3 separate regions of the Mus musculus genome follow, and all the other regions are reported to be linked to region 2. The links are microRNA targets in miRTarBase. Many come from high-throughput screens and were not tested one by one. Region 2 holds a microRNA gene; each other region holds the end of a gene's coding sequence.
What was found. Region 2 holds the annotated microRNA mmu-miR-148b-3p (UCAGUGCAUCACAGAACUUUGU, at 4,060-4,081, opposite strand). A microRNA usually pairs through its seed, bases 2 to 8, with sites in the 3' UTR of a target mRNA and lowers its output. Matches are read on the target gene's strand: a 7mer-m8 pairs with bases 2 to 8, a 7mer-A1 pairs with bases 2 to 7 and ends in A, and an 8mer does both.

Region 1 (7,695 bases), not on the chromosome of region 2:
TTTACACATTGGGTAGTAAGGCTATGCGATTTTGCCCACACCACACATTCAGATTCTGATCTGTCAGACACACAGCCATACTGGATCTCAAGGGCATCCCTACCAGACCGTCGCTCCCGACCGCACTCCGGCAAAGGCTGCGTCACGTCCTGGACCTGCTTTTTCTCAACCTTTCCCTTCCCAACCTTTCGCACTGCCACATCTCACCTGGACCCCGCGACACCCCTCACCCGCCGCTTCTTCAACCGGAGAGCCCCCTGCTGAAAAGGAAGGAAGAAAACAATAGGGCAGGATACGCGCCAAACAACGAGATGGTTTTCAAGCTAGCGGAGGAACCGGCCAATCCGCGGCAGGCTGAGACGGAGACCCGCCTCAGCGCCAGGCGTCGCGCTCGCGGAGCCCGCAATTCCCTGTTCAAACCTCAACGGCTGCCAGGAGGCCAATCGCGACAGAGGCTGGAGAAGCCAACCAATCACAGCCCCGGGGGCGGGGCAAGCGGGCGAGGGGCGTGGCCCCGAGTCTGCGCTTTCCCGGCATCTCTACCGTAGTCGGCTAAGCATGGTCACCCGTTGTCTCTCCGCGGGCCGCCTAAAGCAGTCCAGCTTTTAACCATGTGGCGCCCGGCCCTGTACACTCCGGGAATATACTGCCCCAGCAAAACTCAGCTTGCCGTAGCGCCAGGCTCCCGTCCTCCACTTCCCTCACAGTTGAGGACGCGCAAGGGACAGGAGAGAGCTTATTTTAACGGAATTTCGGTTTGGGGGCGTCCTTTCCTGCGACAACAAACACCGCAGCGGTTCCATTCTTCCAGGGGCTAAACCGGAAGTATTTGACTGGACGCGCCTCACAGGCCGGAACTTGGAGGGCGGGGCTTGTGGCTGTGCGAGCCACCTTGGGATGACTCCCTAAGCTACCTGGGTAAGGCCCAAAATGGCTCCTCTTACTGTCACTACCGTGTGAGTCCCGCCTGGGACTGTAATCTGTGTCTTGGCTTTGGAATTCACACCCGCTCCCCATTTTTCCGGCTGGTTTGCTGCCCCTACTGAGGCGGACAGGCTAGAGTAATGGCAGGGAGTGTCCCTTGGGCGGCAAGTAGGAGACTGTGGGGCTGGGTGCCCTCGGCATGCCGAAGCTTCTCTCTGGGTAAGTGGCTTAAGTGTAGTAGGACGGCCGGCTAACGGCTTGTCACTGGGCAGTGCTGATTCATGCTTCTGTCCTTCCCTAGGCGTCCCACGGTTGGCCTTCGTAAGGCTCACTCTTCCACCTCCCAAAGTGGTTGATCGCTGGAACGAGAAGAGGGCTCTGTTTGGCGTCTACGACAACATTGGAATCCTGGGTAGGACGCGATTCCTGGTTTCTGAAGGATTAGTATGCTCTCTTGACTCTTTCGGTTTTATTTGTGGAGAGAATAGTAATGTGCCCGGGGCAAGCCTGGGGGCACAAACCTGTTACACGGGAGATGAAGCCAGGCAAGACCAGTCTGAGATGCGGAGAATAGTGAGGAGTGCGGGACTCAGTCTCACTAACACAGTAGTGGGCAGGTCTGAGGGCCAAAGCGAGTAAATGGGAGTGTCAGTATTTGAACCCAGACATTTCTGGCTGCAAAGTCTTTACTCCTTTCTTTCTTTCTTCTTTTTTAAATAAGATTTTTGTGTTTTCTGAATGTGTACCGTGTACTGCTCAAGCAATGCCTGCAGGTTCAGGGTGACTTCCTAGAACTTCCCTTTCAGGCAGTCGTGAACCTTCAGTTGAGAGTGCTGGGGAATCCTTTGGAAGAGCAAGTGTTACAAAGACTCTGTCCCTTGTACTAGACTGGTGTGTGCCTTGTCTGTCAGTAGTTCTGATCAGGGAGATGAAACTGTGTTGAAGGCCTAGTTGGGCTAGGCTGACTTCTCTTCTCTTGAAACTAGTATATATTCTGTCACGTTACAGGGAATTTCGAGAAGCACCCAAAAGAACTGATCAAGGGCCCAGTATGGCTTCGAGGCTGGAGAGGAAATGAATTGCAGCGTTGTGTCCGAAAGAAGAAATTTGTGGGAAACAGGATGTTCATTGAGGACCTGCATAACCTTAACAAACGGATCAGCTATCTCTACAAACACTTTAACCGACATGGGAAGTACAGATAGGACGGGAAATGTGTCACCCTGGAGAAGGGGAACAGGACTTATCCCAGCAAGGAGAGAGCTTTGTGTGCTCGATGTAATAAAAAAATGGGGCTCCTTTGGAATCTGATATGCCCAGTGCTACATTTACTCATGCACTCTGACGTCTGCCTCGTTCCTAAGTCACATGATCTTTTGTTACTATTACTTACAGCCCAGTTATGCTTGTGGCCTTTATAACAATCATTTATTGCTGGCACTTTCTGACACTGGCACCTCGTGTAAGTTTTTAAAGAATTTATTTTTATTTATTTTATCTTATTTTTTTGTAATCTTGGAGCTGAAACCCAGGGACTTGCTCATTCTAGGGAACTCTGCCACTAGCCGCCCAGGCCCTTGGAAGTGTAGCTGCTATTTCTAAAGACTCTGCCACCCCAAAATGAACTAGGAAAGTGAAATTACACTTTGTACTGCTCTTATCAGTTATAAGTTAGGGAACTTGTCTGAGTACCACAGCATTTCCCATCCTCTTGAATAGGGCAGTTTTGTGGAGGCTGACCTTGAGTCATGCCCAGTTTTATGAAGTGTTAAAGATCACACCCAGTATTACCCCTGTGTGTGCTACCCTGTTTGCTTTTTTTTTTTTTTTAGGGGAAAAAAATGTCATTTAAGAAAGATATTTTAGGGCTGGTGAGATGGCACTGACTGCTCTTCTGAAGGTCCTGAGTTCAAATCCCAGCAGCCACATGGTGGCTCACAACCACCCATAATGAGATCTGACGCCCTCTTCTGGTGCATCTGAAGTCAGTCACAGTGTACTTATTTTTAATAATAAAAAAGTCTTTGATCATTGGACCAGAGCAAGTGGAGTTGACCAGAGAGAGCAAGGTCAACTGAGGCAGCAGAGGTCCTAAATTCAATTCCCAACAACCACATGAAGCCTCACAACCATCTGTACAGCTACAGTGTACTCACATACATTAAATAAATCTTTTTTTAAAAAGAAAGATATTTTAATACAGGTTTGAGCATCAGGGCTATGAGAGAGGTGTTCAGAGGTAAAACACTTGAGAGCATGAGTGTGGGCTTCCCTGAGAGACTCTTCTATATGGCATAGTGCTGGCGTCTTGGATATACCAAGTACTTTATAGTGAGCTATAGACCCTCTGCTGCACTTTGCTTTTGTTAGTATATATTACAAAAATAATAGGTTTTGCTATGACATTCTTCATTTACTTCTTTTGGTTTTTTGAGATAGGGTTTTCTCTATGTAGCCTTGGCTATCCTGGAACTCAGTATGTAGACCAGGCTAGCCTTGAACTCATGGAGATAATACCTTAGTGTTGGATCTAAGGCTTAAGCCACCACATTTTCCACAGGTTTTTGAATTTATGTTTCAATTGAAATCAATTCAGTGAGAAGTCTGGAGATGACAGAAAGGTAATCCAGGGAATTTTTCTTGCATTTTTTTTTTTTTTTTAAACAGTCTTGGGGCTGGAGAGATGATTCCAGCCATCTCCCAGGGATGCTCTTGCAGGTTGCCCAGGTTAATTCCCAGCTCACACATGGTGACTCAAGGCTGACTATACTTCCAGTTTCTGGGCTTCCCATGGAGACAGGCATGCACATGTGCACAGGCATAGCTGCATGTATTATTGCATGTAAAACATGAAATAATAATAATAAGCCGGGCGGTGGTGGTGCACACCTTTAATCCCAGCACTCAGGAGGCAGAAGCAGGTGGATTTCTGAGTTCGGCTATACAGAGAAATCCTGTCTCGAAAAAACAAAACAAACATAAAAACAAAAACAAACAAACAAACACCAAAAACCTATAGTCTCTCAAAGTCAGGCTCAGGCTGGCCTGGAACTCTTATAGCTCAAACTGGGACCCATCCTCCTGCCTCTACCTCCAGAGTGACAAGATTATATGTGTGAGTCCTTGTATCCAGCTTCAAACTACTGTTTAATCCTCATATTTAGTGGCCATGTCCAAGGCTATATAATACCTACTTCTTTTTATAAAAAAGTATTGCCGGGCGGTGGTGACGCACGCCTTTAAAACCAGCACTTGGGAGACAGAGGCAGGAGGATTTCTGAGTTTGAGGCCAGCCTGGTCTACAGAGTGAGTTCCAGGACAGCCAGAGCTACACAGAGAAACCCTGTCTTGAAAAAAACAAAACAAAACAAAAAAGTATTACAGAGACACACAGGCAAACAAAGCAGAGCTTGGGGATTCTCTTGGAAGAGTGGGGGGAGGGACTGTAGGAGCCAGAGGGGTCAAGGACATCACAAGAAAACCCACAGAATCAACTAACCTGAGCCCTTAGGAGCTCACAGAAACTGAACTGCCCACCAGGGAGCTTGCATGGGACTGAGCTAGGCCCTCCACACATTGTGGTTGGGAGGAGTCCTAACAGCAGGAGTAGGAGCTCTGATTATCCCCTGCTTCTGCTGCCTGCCTTTAGGACCCTTTCCCCACAACCGGCTGCCTTGCCCAGCCCTAATAGAAGAGGTGCCTTGTCTTACTGTACTTGATATGCCATGGCTGGTTGATAGCCACTGAGGCCTGACCTGGGGAGAACAGGGGAGTGGGGATCTGGGTGTGGGGAGGAAAAGTGGCAGGGAGAGACTATGGAGGGAGGGAAGCTGTGGTTGAGAGGGAAGCTGTGGTTGGGATGTAGAATAAAATTTAAAAATGTTAAAAGTATTGCAAATCCAAGAAAATGAATTGCTTGTAGACTCAAGTGAGCTCTGAAGGTAGAAAAATTAGGGTGGTTATCCTATTTGATTTAAATCTAAGTTCTGTGTCAATGATCTTTTATGACGTAACAGTCCATTCTTAAACTCAATGACTAAAACAACTTCAAATCATTTTCTCTGGGTTTTCTTCTTCAGATGGTTAATCTAGTTTGCTGTCACGAGGCCATATTCAGCAGTGGGCTAACACGCCTGAGACATCTTCACTCACATCTACTTAGTCAATTGGTAGTTTGGGTTGTTTTTGTTTTTTTGAGAACCAAATCAGGGCCACTGCAAGAACAGCAAGTGCTTGTAACCTCTGAGCCATCTCTCCACAGCCCCAGCTAAGTTCTTTTGGCACAAGGTCTTATTATTCAGCCTCTCTTGGGCTTGGTTGCTTAGAGACTTGATCCCAAAGGACAAAATTTAAATAACAAGGGTTGATAAAACGAGGCTAAGAAGTCTTGAGGTCTTCAGGCATGGAGGCAAAAACCTTTGAACCCAGGACTGATCCCTGGAGACAGAGGCAGGCCTGGTCTACATATCAAGTTCCAGGCTTGGCTACACAGTGAAATCCCATCTTTAAAAAAAAAAAAAAGAAAAGAAAAAACAAAAAAGCCATGAAGCGCGGTGGTCACCCCTTTAATCCCAGCACTTGGGTAGCAGAGGCAGGTGTTTCTCTATAAGCTCAAGGTCAGCTTAGTCTACAGAACAAGTTTCAGCACAGCCAAGGCTACACACACACACACACACACACACACACACACACACACACACACACACACAAACCCTGTCTTGAGAAACCAAAGAGGAGGGGGAAAGGTAGAAAAGGAAGAGGAAAATGTTTTAATACAATCTCACAAGTGTTAGTGAAGAAGGAACTAACAAGTCAGCCCCAGAAGCCCGTATAAAATTCTTCCTGCTGTCAGTTACAAAAAGTCTTATTTTTCAAGCACAGAGCTGGATTGTTTTTGTAATGAAAAAGAATGCAACATTTCCCTTCAACAAACACTGAATCATTGTGTGGAAGGACCTTGGAGGCATATACACCACAAACCAAGGCTACACCACTGCCTGTAAAAAGATTTCATCCGTCAGGTACAGGGTGCGTATGTAAACAAGATGCATATCTGAATTCGGTAATTGCGTGGGAAAAATATTGTTGCAGCATGAGTTTTTGTTTTTAGGTTTATCCATTTACTGTGTACACAGTGTTCTGCCTACACGTAGGCCTGCACACCAGAAGAGAGCACCAGATCTCATTATAGATGATTATGAGTCACCATGTGGCTCCTGGTAATTGAATTTAGGATCTCTGGTAGAGCAGCTCTTAACCACTGAGCCAGCTTTCCAGTCCCACATGAGGTTTTTGTTTTTGTTTTGTTTGTTTGTTTTTAAAAGGGGGTGAGAAAATTGTGTGTGCACATGCATGCACGTGTGTGTGTGTGTGTGTGTGTGTGTGTGTGTGTGTGTGTGTGTGTGTGTGTGTGTGACTGTGGATTGAAGTGCTTGAAGTAGGTCTTGGAAAGGGTCAGTGCTAGGAATTCAATGGGAAATGACTATATAGACACAGGCAGGAAGGAGTCCCTAACCAACCCCAGGGGAGCAGGTAGAGGGCAGGGAAGGCTTCCTGTAGGTGATCAGATCACCACTAATTTATCCTAAAGGAATGTTAAAAGTGGGGAGGGGGTGCAGAGGGAGGTAACAATTTTTTTTTTTTCAGGCAAATGATGCAGAGCAAAATGGCACAGATGTGAGAAATAGCATGGAGCCAGCACACAGCAAGGCTACAAGTAGTATTTGTTAGTGGAACTACTTTGTGTGCCTAAAGATAAGCTGAGAAGTTAAGAGTCAGAGCACGAGGAAACCTACATTTAGTAAAATGATCTAGCCACTTTGGGAAATCCACAGCTGCCCAAAAAGCTAAACACAGAGTTACGTATGGATCGGTAATGTCACTCAGAGGTGTCACCCAAGAGAATGGAAGCGTGTCTGTTCCACAAGAGCAGAAAGGGCCATGCTAGTGCAGGCCATTATGGTGGCCACAAGAGGAACCCAACCAAACCAATGCCTACCTGCTAGCAGAGCCCCGTGGGCCAGGTGCCTAGGAGGTAGAGCAGGAGGATCAGGAGTTCCAGGCCTTCTTCAGATACATAGTGAGTCTGAAGGACGCCTGAGTTTGGTCCCTGGAACTAATTAATCCCTCATGGAAGAAGGAGAGAACCAACTCTTGCAAACTGATCTCATTTCCATATGTGCATGCCTGCCCCCCAAATAAATTAATGTTTTAAAAGGACAAATGTCCAGCAATTGATTTAAAAAAAAAAGTAACCAAGATTTTGAACAGTTGTACAGTGAATTATTATTCAATTACTAAAGGAATGAAGTACCCATACATGCCACATTCAGATGAATATTTAAAACATGTTAGATGGGCAGGCAGTGGTGGTGCATGCCTTTAATCCCAGCACTTGGGAGGCAGAGGCAGGTGGATCTCTGAATTCAAGGCCAGCCTGGTCTACAGAGTGAGTTCCAGGACAGCCAGGAACACACAGCTACACAGAGCCTGTCTTGAAAACAAAAAGCAAAAAACAAAAACAAACAAACACCATGTTAGATCAAAGAATCAGTCATAAAGTGCCAAATCCTATATGATTCTGTCTCACTGAAATGTGGGGAATAGACATGTCTACAGAAGCAGACCTGGTTTAGTTGCTGCTCCTTGGGTGGAATAAGGGCTGGGGAGTGGCTTTAGCCCATACCGGGTTCTCTGGGGATTGTGTGGAGACACGATGGACGTGGTAAATGCTAGTCAGAGAGCACAGGGTTTCCGAACAGCCGGAAATCA
Region 2 (7,695 bases):
CACTCCTGAAGAATTTGAGTTAGAATGGCCAATTCTGCTATTTAAGTATCCAATGTTTCTGTCCTGCTCCTAAATTAATATAAAGGCAAATCTCACCTTGGCGAAGAGTCGGTCTCCATCATTGTCCAGAATCAGGATGGCCTTGACAGTGTACAGGGAGGGCTCCTGAAGAAACATGAACGTATCTTCAGTTCTGAGAGCATCACTACTAGCAAGCCTAATACCTTCCTTCCCTGGTTCCACTGAGCTGCAGAGTCACACAGGGGTTTGTGTGTCCCCTACTGCGGCATGATTAGGTCTAATACCTCCCCCCTGAGAATAACCAAGGCCCAGAGAGACTGTCTCAGGCTCACAGCCCTTCACCATGCTCTTATTTCCAGATCCTAAGGCCTTGCAGGTCATTTTCTCAGTCACCCAGTCTCTCTGGCGTCCTGAACACAGGTGGGCATGGAACGTGACCATGCTAATAAACAGGCACTGCTCATCTGAAAGAGGGTTGAATGCCCTTGGAAGTCACTGCAGTCCCAAAGCAGCAGCTTAAAGCAAGCCACTCTAAGCCATCCACACACAGAGCAGGACTGTGCATTCACACACACTGGTTCTAAGACAGACATCATCCAAAAGTTCACATATGAAACCCTTCCTCGATATATATGAACCCTCACGACTTAATCGGATAGGATAAAAATCAACCTGAATCTTAAGTGTGGCAAACAGAAAAATATTTGAGACGTCCGGAGTCTGAGAGGTAGCTAAAATAACAAGGGGAGTTTTCTTCCACTACCAAGAATGGAACTAAGTACTCAGTGCCATGGGGCATGTTTGTGTGCAGGGAGCCCTGGGTCCCTGTAAAACAGAACAAAACCCCAGAATGACACAGACTTGCTGATACTGGCTCTCATGAAGCCATCACAACTTAGCTGTAATGGTTACACTTTAACACCTTTCTTCAATTGCAAACAGATGACTTAGGAAAAGCTATTGAGCCTGGTGTTCTCTTCTCTATTCTCACAACTTTCAGAAGGAAAAAGGAAAGTGAGAGCAGCTGGCATTGTGCACAGCAGGCCTCCGCCACTCACAGAATTTGAGGTCTCACCAAGACTACTTCTCACTACCTCTGGTCCAAGGCAAGACTATCTATCTGCTTTGCTCTCCTGGTCTTAGAAAACTCACCCATCTTCAAAAATATAAGTTTAACAAAGACATGAGGCAGAAGAAAGAATTACTGCAAAGGATCCAGAGACTGCAGCCTGACAGAGGTAAAGTGAGGCTCCTGGAGAGGTGGGGCTTCATAAAAAAGAAGCAACCTTAGCTCAAGAGAAGTGGGTATTAACCCAGGCTTTCCTTTTCTTTTTTTCACATTCATTCATCTATCTATCTATCTATCTATCTATCTATCTATCTATCTATCTATCTATCTATCTATCTATCTATCTAGATAAGGGCTCTCAATATGTAGCCCAGCTGGCCTTGAACCCTCAAGACTGCTTCCAAAGTGATCACTCCCCGCCCCCCATGTGTATGGTTGTTTTGTCTACATGTAAACTTGTGTACCACTTGCATGACTGGTGCCCTTGGAGGCCAGAGAGGGTGTCAGAATCCCTTAAAACTGGAATTAAAGATGCCACGTGGATGCTAGGATTTGAACCTGGGTCTTCTAGAAGAGAAACCAGTGGATTTTGTTGGTAGTGCTGGGTTGTTTGGTTGTTCTTGTTTTGTTGTGTTTTGTTTTGTACACAGGGTCTTACTATGAAACTCTGGCTATCCTGGAACTCACTGTGTAGACCAGGTTGTCCTTGAACTCAACTCAACTTGAACTCAACTCAAGGTTGCCTGCCTTTTGCTTTGCTACTGCTGGTATTAAAGATGTATACCACCAGACCCTGCTTAAAAGCCAGTGTTCTATTTCTCTGTATAGCTGTGGCTGTACTGAAACTCTCTATGTACTGAAACTCTCTATGTAGACCAAGCTGGCCTAAACTCAGAGATTTGACTGGCTTTGTACCGGAAGTCACTGTGATTAAAGGTATGTGCCATCACCACTAGACAGAAGCCAGGACTCTTAACTGCTGGCCTATTTCTCCAGCTCACTAACCCAGTCTTTTGAAAATGGTATAAGAGCCCAGCAGTTCTGGCTCAGAACTTGGGAGGCAGAGGCAGGCAGATCTCTGAGTTCAAGGCTACAAAGCGAGTCCCAGGACAGCCAGGGCTATACATGTAATTATTGTCTCAAAAGAAAAAAAAAAAAAAGAAAGAAAATGACCTAAGAAATGTAAGCTTTGAGCCGGACAGTGGTGGCGCACGCCTTTAATCCCAGCGCTTGGGAGGCAGAGACAGGTGGGTTTCTGAGTTCGAGGCCAGCCTGGTCTACAGGGTGAGTTCCAGGACAGCCAAGGCTATACAGAGAAACCCTGTCTTGAAAACAAAAACAACAAACAAACAAAAAGAAACGTAAGCTTCGTTTTCCCCACTTACTTTTTTTATCAGGTAGGCTATGCTATGTAGTCCCAGTGTACAGTCAAGTATAACCTTAAAGCTAATCCACCTACTACTTCCTAATTACAGGTGTGTGTCTTCATGTGCATATGATTTGAATTCCTAATGATGGTAATTTTTGATGAGGTCCTGTCTCAAAAAACAAAAAGAAACAAACCAAGACATTCACCAATTTTTGTATTTTGTTCATTAATTCATCTCAAGTGCACAGAGCAATGCCTGGCGAATCCCGAGCTCTCAATATTTGTTCAAAGTTGAGAATAAAGTTTAAAAAGAAATCTCTCAGCACGATGATTTATTATAACTGGATTTTGCATCTAAGTGGATTTTGTAGTGAGATTGTTCTACGATGATATTATTGCCAACCCACCCTCTCCTCTGACACACTGAAAACTGCCACCCTAGCCACACTGCTCTCTGGAATAAAGGACAAGAGCATTTCCTCTGCAACTGGGGAACTGTGCTGTCTGGCATAGGGAAGTCTTCTCAAGTATAGTCTAAGAGCCACCAACAGAAGTTGTTCTACTAACTCCTAGCTCCATACAGAAAGATCACCCCACAGAGCAGGCTCTGTTCTACAGCCACTTGGCTGTTCAAGTACCAAAATGGAGCCCTCAATGGGAACGAGTTTTCTTAATGGGAAAAAAAAAATCCTAACAGAAGGAAATGGTTGTGCCCCTTCATCCACACTCACAGCAACCACACAGGGCTAGCTGCCCACAAGTTGCAACTGGACCTTAATCTGGCATTGGTGACTGTTGTTGCAGCCAGAGTCTGGTATTCCTGGAAGGAATGGGAGCACACACCCCCACCCTCACAGAAGCCAAAATCCCTAATGGCAACCTGCCAAGTGGGAGAGCCAGTGTTCTTGTGGCCAGCAATGTCTAAGCACCTACACAGCCATGCTAACAACAGAATACAACCCAGGATTCTGCTCCTGACTCTTTCACTGGTTGCCTAGAAGATATGATCAAAGAAACCTTAAAACAGAAACACTGGGTCTTCCTGAGCAAGATAAAAGACAGGTTAAGGGAGAAAGGAGAGACCAGACCAGCTTTCAGGCACTGGAGTTCTGGAAAAAGAGGGAAGGCAGAACAAAGCCTGACCGTTTCAAACTTGCAAAGGAAGACCCACAACAAGGAAAGCTGGGGTATTCGGCAGGAGACAGAATGCCACTTAAAGGCATCACCATCATGCTGTAGTAGAGCCAGCTCTCCTCACTTCTGTTGTAGCTGGCCCCACTCCACCCTATGCCTTTACCTCTCAGGAGTGGGGAAGCCTGAGAATTCCCTTCATATCAGAAAACCAGCCAGTTTAAAGGCTCTAGAAGCCATTACTAATAATGTAACTTCATTCTAAGCTTTGCAAAGGACATGTTATAAATAACTCCCAGGTGCTAAGAAATGAGCTTCCTGGACAATGGGACTGGGCTTTGACCTTGTGATGCATTAAATACTGACTCTTGAAAAAGACCCTACAATCTTAGGACCATATTCAAAGGACTGAAAAGATCTATTCTTCCCTCTCACTCCCCAAATGGGCAGCTGCTAGAAAGCTTTCGAGACAAAGTTCTGTGATGCACTGACTTTCAGAGCCACAGCCTGAGTGTATAACAGAACTTCACCTCAAATGCTAAGGGTGCCTGTAAGTGGTGGGTAGGCAGACTGGCTGTGGGAGGAGGAGTGGCAGGGATAGATTTTCGTGTCTGCTTTTATTATCAAGAAAACTAGAAAGCTGTCTTTGGGACAGCTGAAACGTCATGCAGAAAGCACCTAGGCTGCTGCAACTAACTCTCTGATCTCCATCAGAGTCTCCAGAAACCTGGTGGGAACATCAAGTCTGGAGCACCAAGGCCTATACTGGGAAGGCTAGAGGAAGAAGATTCCTTCCCAGTGCTGCCCTCTGTGGACCTCCTGCCTGACACACAGCTTCCTCAGGATTACAGCCCAAGCAAACAGTGCCAGAAAGGCAATGGTTTGGGGCCTAAGCTGTTTGGGCAGAGTGCTCACCTAAGGTGTGAGACCTTGTGCTTAATCCACACACAAAACAAACCCCCACCAAACTCGATTTGTATGTATTTTGCATTTTAAATAAAACTAATACAAACAGGTTTGTAAAAGAAAACACGGAAAGCTAACGGTAGTGACACATGCTTGTAACCCTACATGCAGGAGGATCAGAAGTTCACGGTCATCCTCAGCAGCTTGTCAAATTCTAGGACAGGCTGGGACAAATGACCTTGTCTCAAAACAAATACAAACCAAACTACGGAATTAAGTCTATTGGCTTAACTAATATATATGGGATAGTAAGTGAATAGTTGGGTAAGATCACTGTATGAGATCAAAAAGCTTGGAGGAACAGTGTCTACATAGAGCAGAGAGACAGGATATTTTAGAACTACAAGTAACTATTTAAGTCTCTTAGGTCACAAAACCAAAAGGCCTAAGAATCCAAAGAAACAGCTCAGAGGTTAAGAGCGTTTGCTGCTCTTGCAGAGGACTCAGGTTCAGATCCCAGCTCCCAGTTCCAGGGAGTTCTGACACCCTCTTCTGGCCTCTGAAGGTACTGCATGCACACGGTGCCCATATATGCATAAAGACAAAACACTTGTATATATAAAATAAAACTGAACCGAAAAAAAAAATATATATATATATACACATGCATGCATGCATGCATGCATGCATGCATACATACATACAAACAAACAAAACAATATGGCTGAGATTCCTGGAAAGATCTGTGTTCCCTACTTACAAAGATATTCTTGGGATACAGTAAAATTCTTGGGCTTAGCAATAGATCTATTAATTAAAAACTGTAACAAGATGGTCTTTCAATCCTGCTTATAAAATGAAATGGCTGGTGAGATGGCTCAGTGGTTAAGAGCACCGACTGCTCTTCCAAAGGTTCTGAGTTCAAATCCCAGCAAACACATGGTGGCTCGCAACCATCCGTAACAAAAATCAGATGCCCTCTTCTGGAGTGTCTGAAGACAGCTACAGTGTACACACATATAATAAATAAATAAATCTAAAAAAAAAAAAAGAAACCTAGAGAGTTAAAACTAAGAGAGCCCTTCGTAGTACACACACCTGTAACCCAAGCACTTAGAAGGATGAGCAGGAGTTGAGAGGCCAATCTGGACCACATAGTGAGTTCTAGGCCAGCCTAGGATAGAGTGGGACCTTGTCTCAAAAGCAAAACAAAATTAGAAGGAGAAATTCCTAGATACCACTCCCAGCACCACAGGGCTATGCAGGTATTCTGTTACCTAACCCTGAGTTAAAATTTTTTAAAATTAAAAGGTATGCTGAGTTTGAGAGCTCTAATTTACTACAGAAGCCTACATAGTTCAGATGAAAAGAAGATTTAGCTAAGTTTTGACAAGGATAGCATTTAGATTTGGGAAACACAGCTGAGGGGCTTCAGGGGTGGATTCTGTGCTCAGAATATGCTTTAGACTGTGCCACAAACAAAATAATAAACACATTAAAAAAAGAAAGAAAGAAAAACTCACAGGGCTGAGGACATGGACCAACAGTTAAGAGTGCTTACTGCTCTTGCAGGTCTGGAGTTTGGTTCCCAGCATCCACATCAGACAGCTTATAACTGTCTGTGACTCTCAATTCCAGGGGATCTGACACCCTCTTCTGGCCTCCACAGGCACTCACACACAAGTGGCATTCACACATAGGGACACATTAAAAACCAAAACAACAAGAAGCCCAGAAAGTAAGACCCATGAGGCAAGCATAGCTGCACACATTTTTTTTTTTTTTTTTTTTTTTTGGTTTTCTTTTTTTTTTGGAGACAGGGTTTCTCTGTATAGCCCTGGCTGTCCTGGAACTCACTTTGTAGACCAGGCTGGCCTCGAACTCAGAAATCCGCCTGCCTCTGCCTCCTGAGTGCTGGGATTAAAGGCGTGCGCCACCACACCCGGCTGCACAAATCTTTTTTTTTCTTTTCTTTTTTTTTTTATTACGTATTTTCTTCAATTACATTTCCAATGCTATCCCAAAAGTCCCCCCTCCCCCCAACTCCCCTACCCACCCATTCCCATTTTTTGGCCCTGGCATTCCCCTGTACTGGGGCATATAACGTTTGCCTGACCAATGGGCCTCTCTTTCCAGTGATGGCCGACTAGGCCATCTTTTGATACATATGCAGCTAGAGTCAAGAGCTCCGGAGTACTGGTTAGTTCATAATGTTGTTCCTCCGATAGGGTTGCAGATCTCTTTAGCTCCTTGGATACTTTCTCTAGCTCCTCCACAAATCTTAATCGTAGCACTGAAGAGGTAGAAAAAGGGTGCTCTCTGAAAGTTCAGGGCCAGTCTAGTCTACATAAAGGGTTCCAGGCCTGCTGGGGCTATATAATGAGACCCTATCTTAAAAAGACCCATGGGTCCTGGAGAAATTATCTATCTTATATGAAACCAAATTTCGGTTGTAGAGGGGAAACTAAACACATATTCTGGAGGTACTGATGGCAGAAAGTCACAGTAGGAAGAATCTTCTTAGGAACTGAGACTATGGTTCTGTTATAGTATTTCCCTAGCATGCATGAGGCCCTGGGTTCAATCCTTAGTATTACTTAAAAACAGACATGGCATCACAGTCTGTAACCCTAGCAGTCAAGAGGCAGAGGTTTGAAGACTCAAAGTTCAAGATCATCAGCTACGTAAGTTCACAAGCCTCTGTCTACAAACAAACAAACCAAAAAAAAAAAAAAAAAAACCCCAAAACTGGAGTGATAGTTCAGCTGGTGGAAGTACTTGTGCATTTAATCACATGCACTGTCAGGGTAGCAAAGATCCCTTTTAGCCAGCCAGCCAGCCAAATCAAAAAGGTAATCAACAATAACAACTCAGCTAGGCAGTGAGTGGTAGGTGGATCTCTGGCCATCCTGGTCTATACAGCCAGTTCTAGGACAGCCAGGGCTACACAGAGAAACCTTCTCTCAAAACAATAACAACAACAAAACACAAAACAAATGAACAAAAACCAACTACATGGCTGGCTGCTGAGGAGAAATAGCACCCGAGGTTAGCCTCCACCCTCCACACATATGCACACACATTCATTATATCTGCACACGCATGCATGCACACACACACATCTTCCTACCCCATACAGACATACAGATAGGAAACATGGAGAGTCCAAGCATGGGGCAAAACTTCTGCTAGTTGAAGG
Region 3 (7,695 bases), not on the chromosome of region 2:
TTCAACAGTGAGATAAACTTTGCACAGTGAATATATTTTTTTAAAGGTTTATTTATTGTTATATGTAAGCACACTGTAGCTGTCTTCAGACACCCCAGAAGAGGGCATCAGATCTCATTACGGATGGTTGTGAGCCACCATGTGGTTGCTGGGATTTGAATTCAGGACCTTCGGAAGAGCAGTCAGTGCTCTTACCCGCTGAGCCATCTCTCCAGCACTGTATGTTTTCTATTAAATATTTTAGCAGTTGATTTTTTTTTTTCATTTTGGAGTCATGATTTATCTTTTTGGAGGGGGGGGTGTGTTTCGAGACAAACACACCCTGTAGCCCTGGTCATTAAAGCATAAAGACGGACACGACAGAGGGAGAGACCGTGCATCCCCGTCCCCAAGCTAGGTTCTTATTCTGTCCACCTTGTTCCAAACGAGATATCATTCCCTCCCGTCACCACGCACTCCACCCTGTGCGCTTGTGGCATACCTTGTTTATGATCGCGACGGTTTCCTGGGATGAGTAGCCCTGGCTGACCTGGAACTCACTCTGTAGACCAGGCTGGCCTTGAACTCAGAAATCTGCCTGCCTCTGCCTCCAGAGTGCTGGGATTAAAGGTGTATGCCACCACGGCCGGCTATGATTTATCTTTGTACCCCTGGCTGTTTTGGAACTAGCTCTGTAAACCAGGCTGGGCTCAGACTCACAGAGATCCACCTGCCTCTGGCTCCTAAATGCTTTAATTAAACACATGTGAAACCATGCTCAGCTACCAGTTGAATTTTAAAGTATATTATACTCCATAGATTAAAAATTCACGGGCTGGAGAGATGGCTCAGTGGCTAAGAGCACTGACTGCTCTACCAGAGATCCTGAGTTCACTTCCCAGCAACCACATGGTGGCTCACAACCATCTGTAATGGGGATCTGATGTCCTCTTATGTGTCTGAAGACAGTGACAATGTACTCACATACATGAAGTAAATAAATAAATCTTTAAAAAATTATTAAAATTCACAAGATATAGTGGCACCTACTTGTAACCCCAGCATGAAAAACATGGAATCAGGAGGATTGCCCAAGAGTTTGAGGCCAGACAGATTGACATAGTGAGTTCCATGCCAGTCAAGGATATATAGCAAGAAATCCCATCTCAAAGAAACTACAGAAATGATCATTAAAAAAAACCCAAATAGACAAATTCATATATCATAGGCAATAAAAATAAAACGAGTTGATAAGACACTGCAGTCAGAATCACACTGGGAGATCTAAATATGGATTGTCATCACAGGGAAAGAATATCAGAGGAACCAGGGCTTAGTAAAAGGCAGACAATTGCTATTAGGGGACAACTTCTAATGCATGTTTAGATTTGTCTTGAGTACATATCTGCTTAGTGGAATGAAAATCAAAACACTAAGATGCAAGCAATCATGACATGACTTAGGAATAACTTTTCATGGAGACTCAGGGGTACAGCCTTCACAGCGGTCCTCATTGTGTTGCACACCTCCTGTTGCTCAGTGGTAATGAAAAGCTCCTGACAGAACTGTGCTGTGGCTTCCTCCTCTGCAGCTTCTACAGATTTTCAAAAACGTTTTCATTATGTACTCACTGTTTCTTGGGGGAACTTCTTGACTTTTATTTATTTATCTGGGCTATATCTACCCTTCCAGTCTTAGCCTTTCTATTTTTAAAACCAGGAAATCTCTAGGGACCTCATTCACCTGACAACTGTAAACAGTTGGTTTAACTAAAATGTTGGCTTTTCTTCCCACAGTGAAGATTTCCTTTAAACATTCAATCATGTTCGGCTACACCTCACTCAGACCTTTTGATATCAGACTTCTCCATGAAAGCACATCTCTGGATTCAGCTGAAACCCATCGTGTTTCCTGGGGAAAAAAGAGCTTCTCCAGGGGAAAATACTACTGGGAGGTGGATTTGAAGGACTATAGGCGGTGGACTGTAGGAGTCTGTAAGGATCCCTGGTTAAGGGGGAGAAGCTATGTGGCGACACCCACAGATCTATTTCTTGAGTGTTTGAGAAAGGACGATCATTACATTCTCATCACCCGCATAGGAGGTGAACACTATATAGAGAAGCCAGTTGGCCAAGTTGGCGTGTTCCTTGATTGTGAGGGTGGATATGTAAGTTTCGTGGATGTAGCCAAGAGTTCCCTCATACTCAGCTACTCTCCTGGAACTTTCCATTGTGCTGTCAGGCCTTTCTTCTCTGCTGTCTACACATAATCATAGGAATCCAGTATGCTAGTGCTTTTCTAGTACTTCTATGATAATGTGTCCCCTCTTTATTGTGATGGTTTGTGTATGCTTGGCCAGGGGAGTGGCACTATTAGAATGTGTGGCCCGGTTGGAGTTGGTGAGTCACTGTGGGTGTGAGCTTTAAGACTCTCATCTTAGCTGTGTGGAAGTCAGTCTTCCACTAGCAGCGTTCAGATGAAGATGTAGAACTCTCATCTGGGTCTTTACCATGCCTACCTAGATATTGCCATGATCCCACTTTGATAATGGATTGAACCTCTAAACCTGAAGGCCAGCTCTAATTAAATGTTGTCCTTTATAAGACTTGCCTTGGTCATGGTGTCTGTTAATAGCAGTAAAACCCTAACTAAGACATGTTAAAATGATATTAAGGGATGGAGAGATGGCTCAGAGGTTAAGAGCACTGACTCTTGGTTAAGGGACTGTTCTTCTGAAGGTCCTGTGTTCAAATCCCCACAACCACATGGTGGCTCACACCCATCTGTAATGAGATCTGATGTCCTCTTCTGGTGTGTCTGAAGACAGCTACAGTGTACTTACATATAATAAATAAATAAATTTAAAAAATATAAAATGATATTAAATGTAAAAGATGGGTGACTGCTTCTTATCTGTGGTCCACCTGTTCCTCCTAGAACATTTACTTTTTTAAAAATATTTTATTTATTATGTGTAAGTACATTGCAGCTGTCTTTAGACACCAGAAGAGGGCGTCATATCTCACTATGGATGGTTGTGAGTCACCATGTGGTTGCTGGGATTTGAACTCAGGACCTCTGGAAGAGCAGTCAGTGTGCCCTTACCTGCTGAGCCATCTCACCAGGCCAAACATTTACTTTCAAAGTAGTTATTGCTTTTTGTTTTTGCATATTTGTGAGAATTACTAATTAGAATCTTGGATCTAGTGTAGACCTAGAACTCAGGATGCAGAGTTCCCAGAGTTCCAGCACCATTTAAATATTCTGTATCTGTGTGATTCTAAGTTAATGACGTCAGGCAGAGGCACAGAGATCTACTGTAGGCAGATTTGTTGATCAATAAAAGCTTGAATCCCTATTTGATCTAAACAAATAATTATTTACCAACTGGGATAGAACAACAACAACAAACAGGCTCTCATCGTTCAGAGAGGGATTTTTTTTTCCTGAAAAAAAGGAAAGTGAGTTTCCCCCTCTTTCACGTCCTTTATTTTAAACCTGTTTTATGTTGGGGACACACTTGAAAAAACTTTAATTGTCTCCAACATAAAACAGCTTTAAATATTGAATATTCTTCCAGTCTCAGAGAGCACACAAATGTCTTTTGACATTCAACAGGTTCTCTCTTCTGGAAACCCCTCCTTGGTCATTTGCAAGAGGGTCGTGTGTGGGGCTGGTGAGATGGCCCAGCGGTTAAGAGCACCGACTGCTCTTCCAAAGGTCATGAGTTCAAATCCCAGCAACCACATGGTGGCTCACAACCATCCGTAAAAAAAATTCTGATGCCCTCTTCTTCAGTATCTGAAGACAGCTACAGTGTACACACATATAATAAATAAATCTTAAAAAAAGAGGGTCGTGTGCACCTGAGAACACTGAGAGAAGTAGATTGTAATGCCCATCCAAGGCCATTTTCTTTCATGATTCTAGACTTTCAGAAATGAAGCCTCAAATTTTTTTGGTTAGCCAGTCTAGTTCCCTCTGCTTTCTCATGTTGCTTCGAAAGGCATAAAGTTATACTTCTTAATATCCCAACATAAGATTTGACTCCATTGACCATTTGACTTCTGTGACACCTAGGCTCTGACCAGAATATTACACCAAGGACTGTGCAGAGACATGAGAACTTAGGTTGCTCCTTTAGGAAGCATATTGCAAATATTTTAGAAAAGACTAAGAACACAGTAGACATAAGAAATGCCATGCGACTACTACTTAGCACCAGGCATGCAGTTCAATAAGATCACAAAACATAGAAGCATTAAGCTCAAAGGGGATGAGGTGTTTTGTTTTTTCTCATTTTTTTATTAGAAAAAGAGAAAGCAAATGTTGGGGTTGCATTTATATCATGTACAGGATTCTGGAGAATTTCTAAATCCCCCAATTTCTGGAAAGTTTACATTCCAGTCATAAAACCTCACTTGATGCATTGACAATATAACAGCTCATGTAACCCTCAGGAAACCTTGTGGAAGAGGCAGATACATCCTAAGAGCCAGAGCACCAGAACATCTGCTTCTAAATAGGCACACAAGGAAGAGGGATTTGAAGGAGGGCCCATGGGTGCATATACAATATATGAAATTGCCTTAAATTAATAAATGAGAGCTAAAAAGCAAATCAGTTTAGCAGTCAGGGCAGCTCTGTGGCTTATGTCCAGGCCCAAGCTCCTCAAATGTACTTTTGTGGGCAAATGGCCTTCACCTTGGCCACATTTAGAGCATATAGAGTATAAATCCTTTCCTATTTAACTATTGTGGTTCTTTTGAACTCATATCTAATAAGGTAAAACACAAAGCTCATGTATATACATTTTAAAATTTATTCTTATAATACTGTCAGATCATAGCTTCTCCTTTCATTTCTCCCAGTCCAAGCCTGGGTAAGGCAACCCAGTAGGAGGAAATGGGTCTCAAGAGCAGACAAGAGCCAGATATCTACTTCACTGTTACTAGTCCTACAAAAACTCCAAGCTAAAAACCATAACATGCCGGGCAGTGGTGCCTTTAATCCCAGCACTTGGGAGGCAAAGGCAGGCAGATTTCTGAGTCTATACAGTTGAGTTCCAGGACAGCCAGGGCTATACAGAGAAACCCTGTCTCAAAAAACCAACCAACCAAAAACCATAACATGCAGATATAACTTAAGCACATACCAATGTTCCAGGGTTGCTGCTTCAGTCTCTGTGAACCCCCAGGACCCTTATTTAGTTGCTTCTGTTTGCTGTATTATCCTAGTGTCTCTGACCCCACTGACTCTTATAATTCTTCCTCCCCCTTCTTCCATGGGGTTCCTAGATCTCTGAGGGGAGGGACCTAATGGAGTGCTCCAATTTGGGCTCTCTCTACATCTCATGCATGGCTGTCAGTCTTTACATTGGTTCTAATCAGCTTCTAGGGAAAGTGTCTCTGATGACTATTGAACTAGGCCTCAATCTTTGAGTATAGCAGAATACCACTAGGGATCATTTCATTGACTTATTTTTCCTACCCTAGGTCCTTGGCTATCCAGACTCCAGTTCTTGATGATCCAGGCAGTGTTGGGCATGGGCTTCCTCTCTTGTGGGCTTCGAATTAGACCACTCATTAGTTGGCCACATTAGTTCTCCTTCATTGCCCCAGCACATCTTTCTGGCAGGATAGGTTGTAGGTCTAAGGGCATTAGCTGTGTTCATGTTGCAACCCTACCACTGTAAGTCACTTGGTTATAGAATATGGCTGGTTCAGGCTCTGTATCCTCCATTACTGGGAGTGGTCTCTGGGGTCACCTTTGTAGATTCCAGGGATTTTACTTTTTACTAGATTTTTTTTTTTTTTTTTTTTTTTTTTTTGGTTTTTCAAGACATGGTTTCTGTGTAGCCCTGGCTGTCCTGGAACTCATTCTGTAGACCAGGCTGGCCTCGAACTCAGAAATCTGCCTGCCTCTGCCTACCGAGTGCTGGGATTAAAGGCGTGTTCCACTACGCTCAGCTCCATTACTAGATTTCTACATCAGCTCCAGAAGTTATCCAATTCCAGTCATCTCTCCCATACTCTCTCCCTCCAGTCCTCCCTGAGAACTTGATCCCCACTTGTTTCTTAGCTTCATGTCTGTGGATTGTAGAATAGTTATCCTGTACTTTGTGGCTAATAGTCTTTCTGGGTCTGGGTTATCTCACTCAGGATGATCTTTTCTAGATTCATCTACTTGCCCACACATTTAATGATATCATTGTTTTTAATATTTGAGTAATATTCAATTATGTAAAGGTACCTCATTTTCTTTATCCATTCTTTGGCTGTTTCCAGTTTCTGGCTATTATGAATAAACCTACTAAAAACTTTGTTGAGCAAGTGTCCTTATAGTCGGTTGAGTATTTTTTGGGTCTATAGCTGGATCTTGAGATAGGTCTATTCCAAGTTTTCTGAGAAACTACCCAATTGATTTCCAACGAGGTTGTATAAGTTTGCACTCCCATCAGTGGAGGAGTGTTCCCCTTGCTCCACATTTTTGCCAGGATGAAATGGAACTTGAGATTTTTTTTTCTCAGCCATTTTGATGAGTGTAAGATGAAATCTGAGTTATTTTAATTTGTCCTTACCTGATAACTAAGGATGCTGAACATTTCTTTAAGTGCTTCTCAGCCATTTAAGATTCATTTGTTGAGAATTCTCTGTTTGGGTCTGTACCACATTTTTATTAATTTTATTTATTTATTTTTGTTTATTTTTTTCAAGACAGGGTTTCTCTGTGTAGCCCTGGCTGTCCAGGCACTCACTTTGTAGACCAGGCTGGCCTCGAACTCAGAAATCCGCCTGCCTCTGCCTCCCAAGTGCTGGAATTAAAGGCATGTAACACCTCTGCCCAGCAGAGGCCTTTTCTCAATCAGGAATCCTTCTTCCAAGGTGGGTGTGGAAGGCACTCACTCACCTTTAATCCCAGTATTCTGGAGTCAGAGGCAATCTGTGATTCAAGGCCAGCCTGTCCTACAAACTAAGTTCCAGGACAGCTAGAGCTACATAGTGAGACCCAGACTCAAAAAAACCTAAATAAATAAATGATTGCTCTATTTGCATGCACACCTGCATGCCAGAAGAGGGCATCAGATCCCATTACAGATGGTTATGAGCCTCAATGTGGTTGCTGGGAATTGAACTCAGGACCTCTAGAAGAACAACTAGTGGTATTCCATCTTTGGGACACTGGGGGGAGGGGGTGAAGCTTCAGCCTTGCAGATGAGGGGTGGTGCTGGGGGAAGGGGCTGTGTGTGTGTGTGTGGGGGGGGAAGGGGGTGGGGGGACTAAAGGTGTACACTGTCAACACCCAGGTTCTTTGAACTGCAGAGCCATCTCTCCAGCCCCTGACCCCCACCCCCAGCTTGTTTTTTAAGATTTATTGAGCTCTCAGGTAAGCTCCTTACCAAGCTAGAGTACCTGGATGATATCTAGTATTAGCCCTCTATTAACAAAAAGAATTATTCAGACAGAATCTGTATATTTCAGGAGGCTTAGTCAAACATGTCATCCAGTGTGTATAAAAAGGTTTCAGTTAGTACATTTAATGGAAACGAGTTTTAATTCCCACTAAAATGATGCCCTGTTTGGACTTGTTTCTTGCTCAGCTACAAATCGCCCAGTCATCATGGGGATGGCTCCTTGGTTAAACGTGCTTACTGCTTTCAGGGCCCAGGTTCAGCACCCAGCTCCCTCACAGCAGCTGAACTTTAGCGGCAGATCC

Region 1: the mRNA of Mrpl51 is a reported target of mmu-miR-148b-3p. Seed matches in the 3' UTR shown: 7mer-A1 at 2,804-2,810.
Region 3: miRTarBase lists Trim43b as a target of mmu-miR-148b-3p. Seed matches in the 3' UTR shown: 7mer-A1 at 2,682-2,688.

Annotation. Positions count from the first base shown.
Region 1 is chr6:125,191,291-125,198,985 of GRCm38, forward strand. It overlaps Mrpl51 (mitochondrial ribosomal protein L51), which reads left to right and starts at 910. Exons shown (of 3, transcript NM_025595.3): 1 at 910-1,143; 2 at 1,226-1,336; 3 at 1,933-3,102. The coding sequence starts at 1,065. The coding sequence ends at 2,129. It overlaps Mir3098 (microRNA 3098), which reads left to right and starts at 4,502; the gene lies at 4,502-4,588. Ncapd2 (non-SMC condensin I complex, subunit D2) reads right to left here and starts at 296. Exons shown (of 32, transcript NM_146171.1): 1 at 208-296. It overlaps Gm52878 (a long non-coding RNA gene), which reads left to right and starts at 5,444. Exons shown (of 2, transcript XR_003956366.1): 1 at 5,444-5,952; 2 at 6,571-7,695.
Region 2 is chr15:103,281,571-103,289,265 of GRCm38, reverse strand. Mir148b (microRNA 148b) reads right to left here and starts at 4,141; the gene lies at 4,045-4,141. It overlaps Copz1 (coatomer protein complex, subunit zeta 1), which reads right to left. Exons shown (of 9, transcript NM_019817.2): 2 at 97-165. Gm41406 (a long non-coding RNA gene) reads left to right here. Exons shown (of 5, transcript XR_003951562.1): 4 at 1,022-1,259; 5 at 2,566-2,904.
Region 3 is chr9:89,079,797-89,087,491 of GRCm38, reverse strand. Trim43b (tripartite motif-containing 43B) reads left to right here. Exons shown (of 7, transcript NM_001170884.1): 7 at 1,776-2,868. The coding sequence ends at 2,248. Gm40542 (a long non-coding RNA gene) reads right to left here and starts at 10. Exons shown (of 2, transcript XR_870985.3): 1 at 1-10.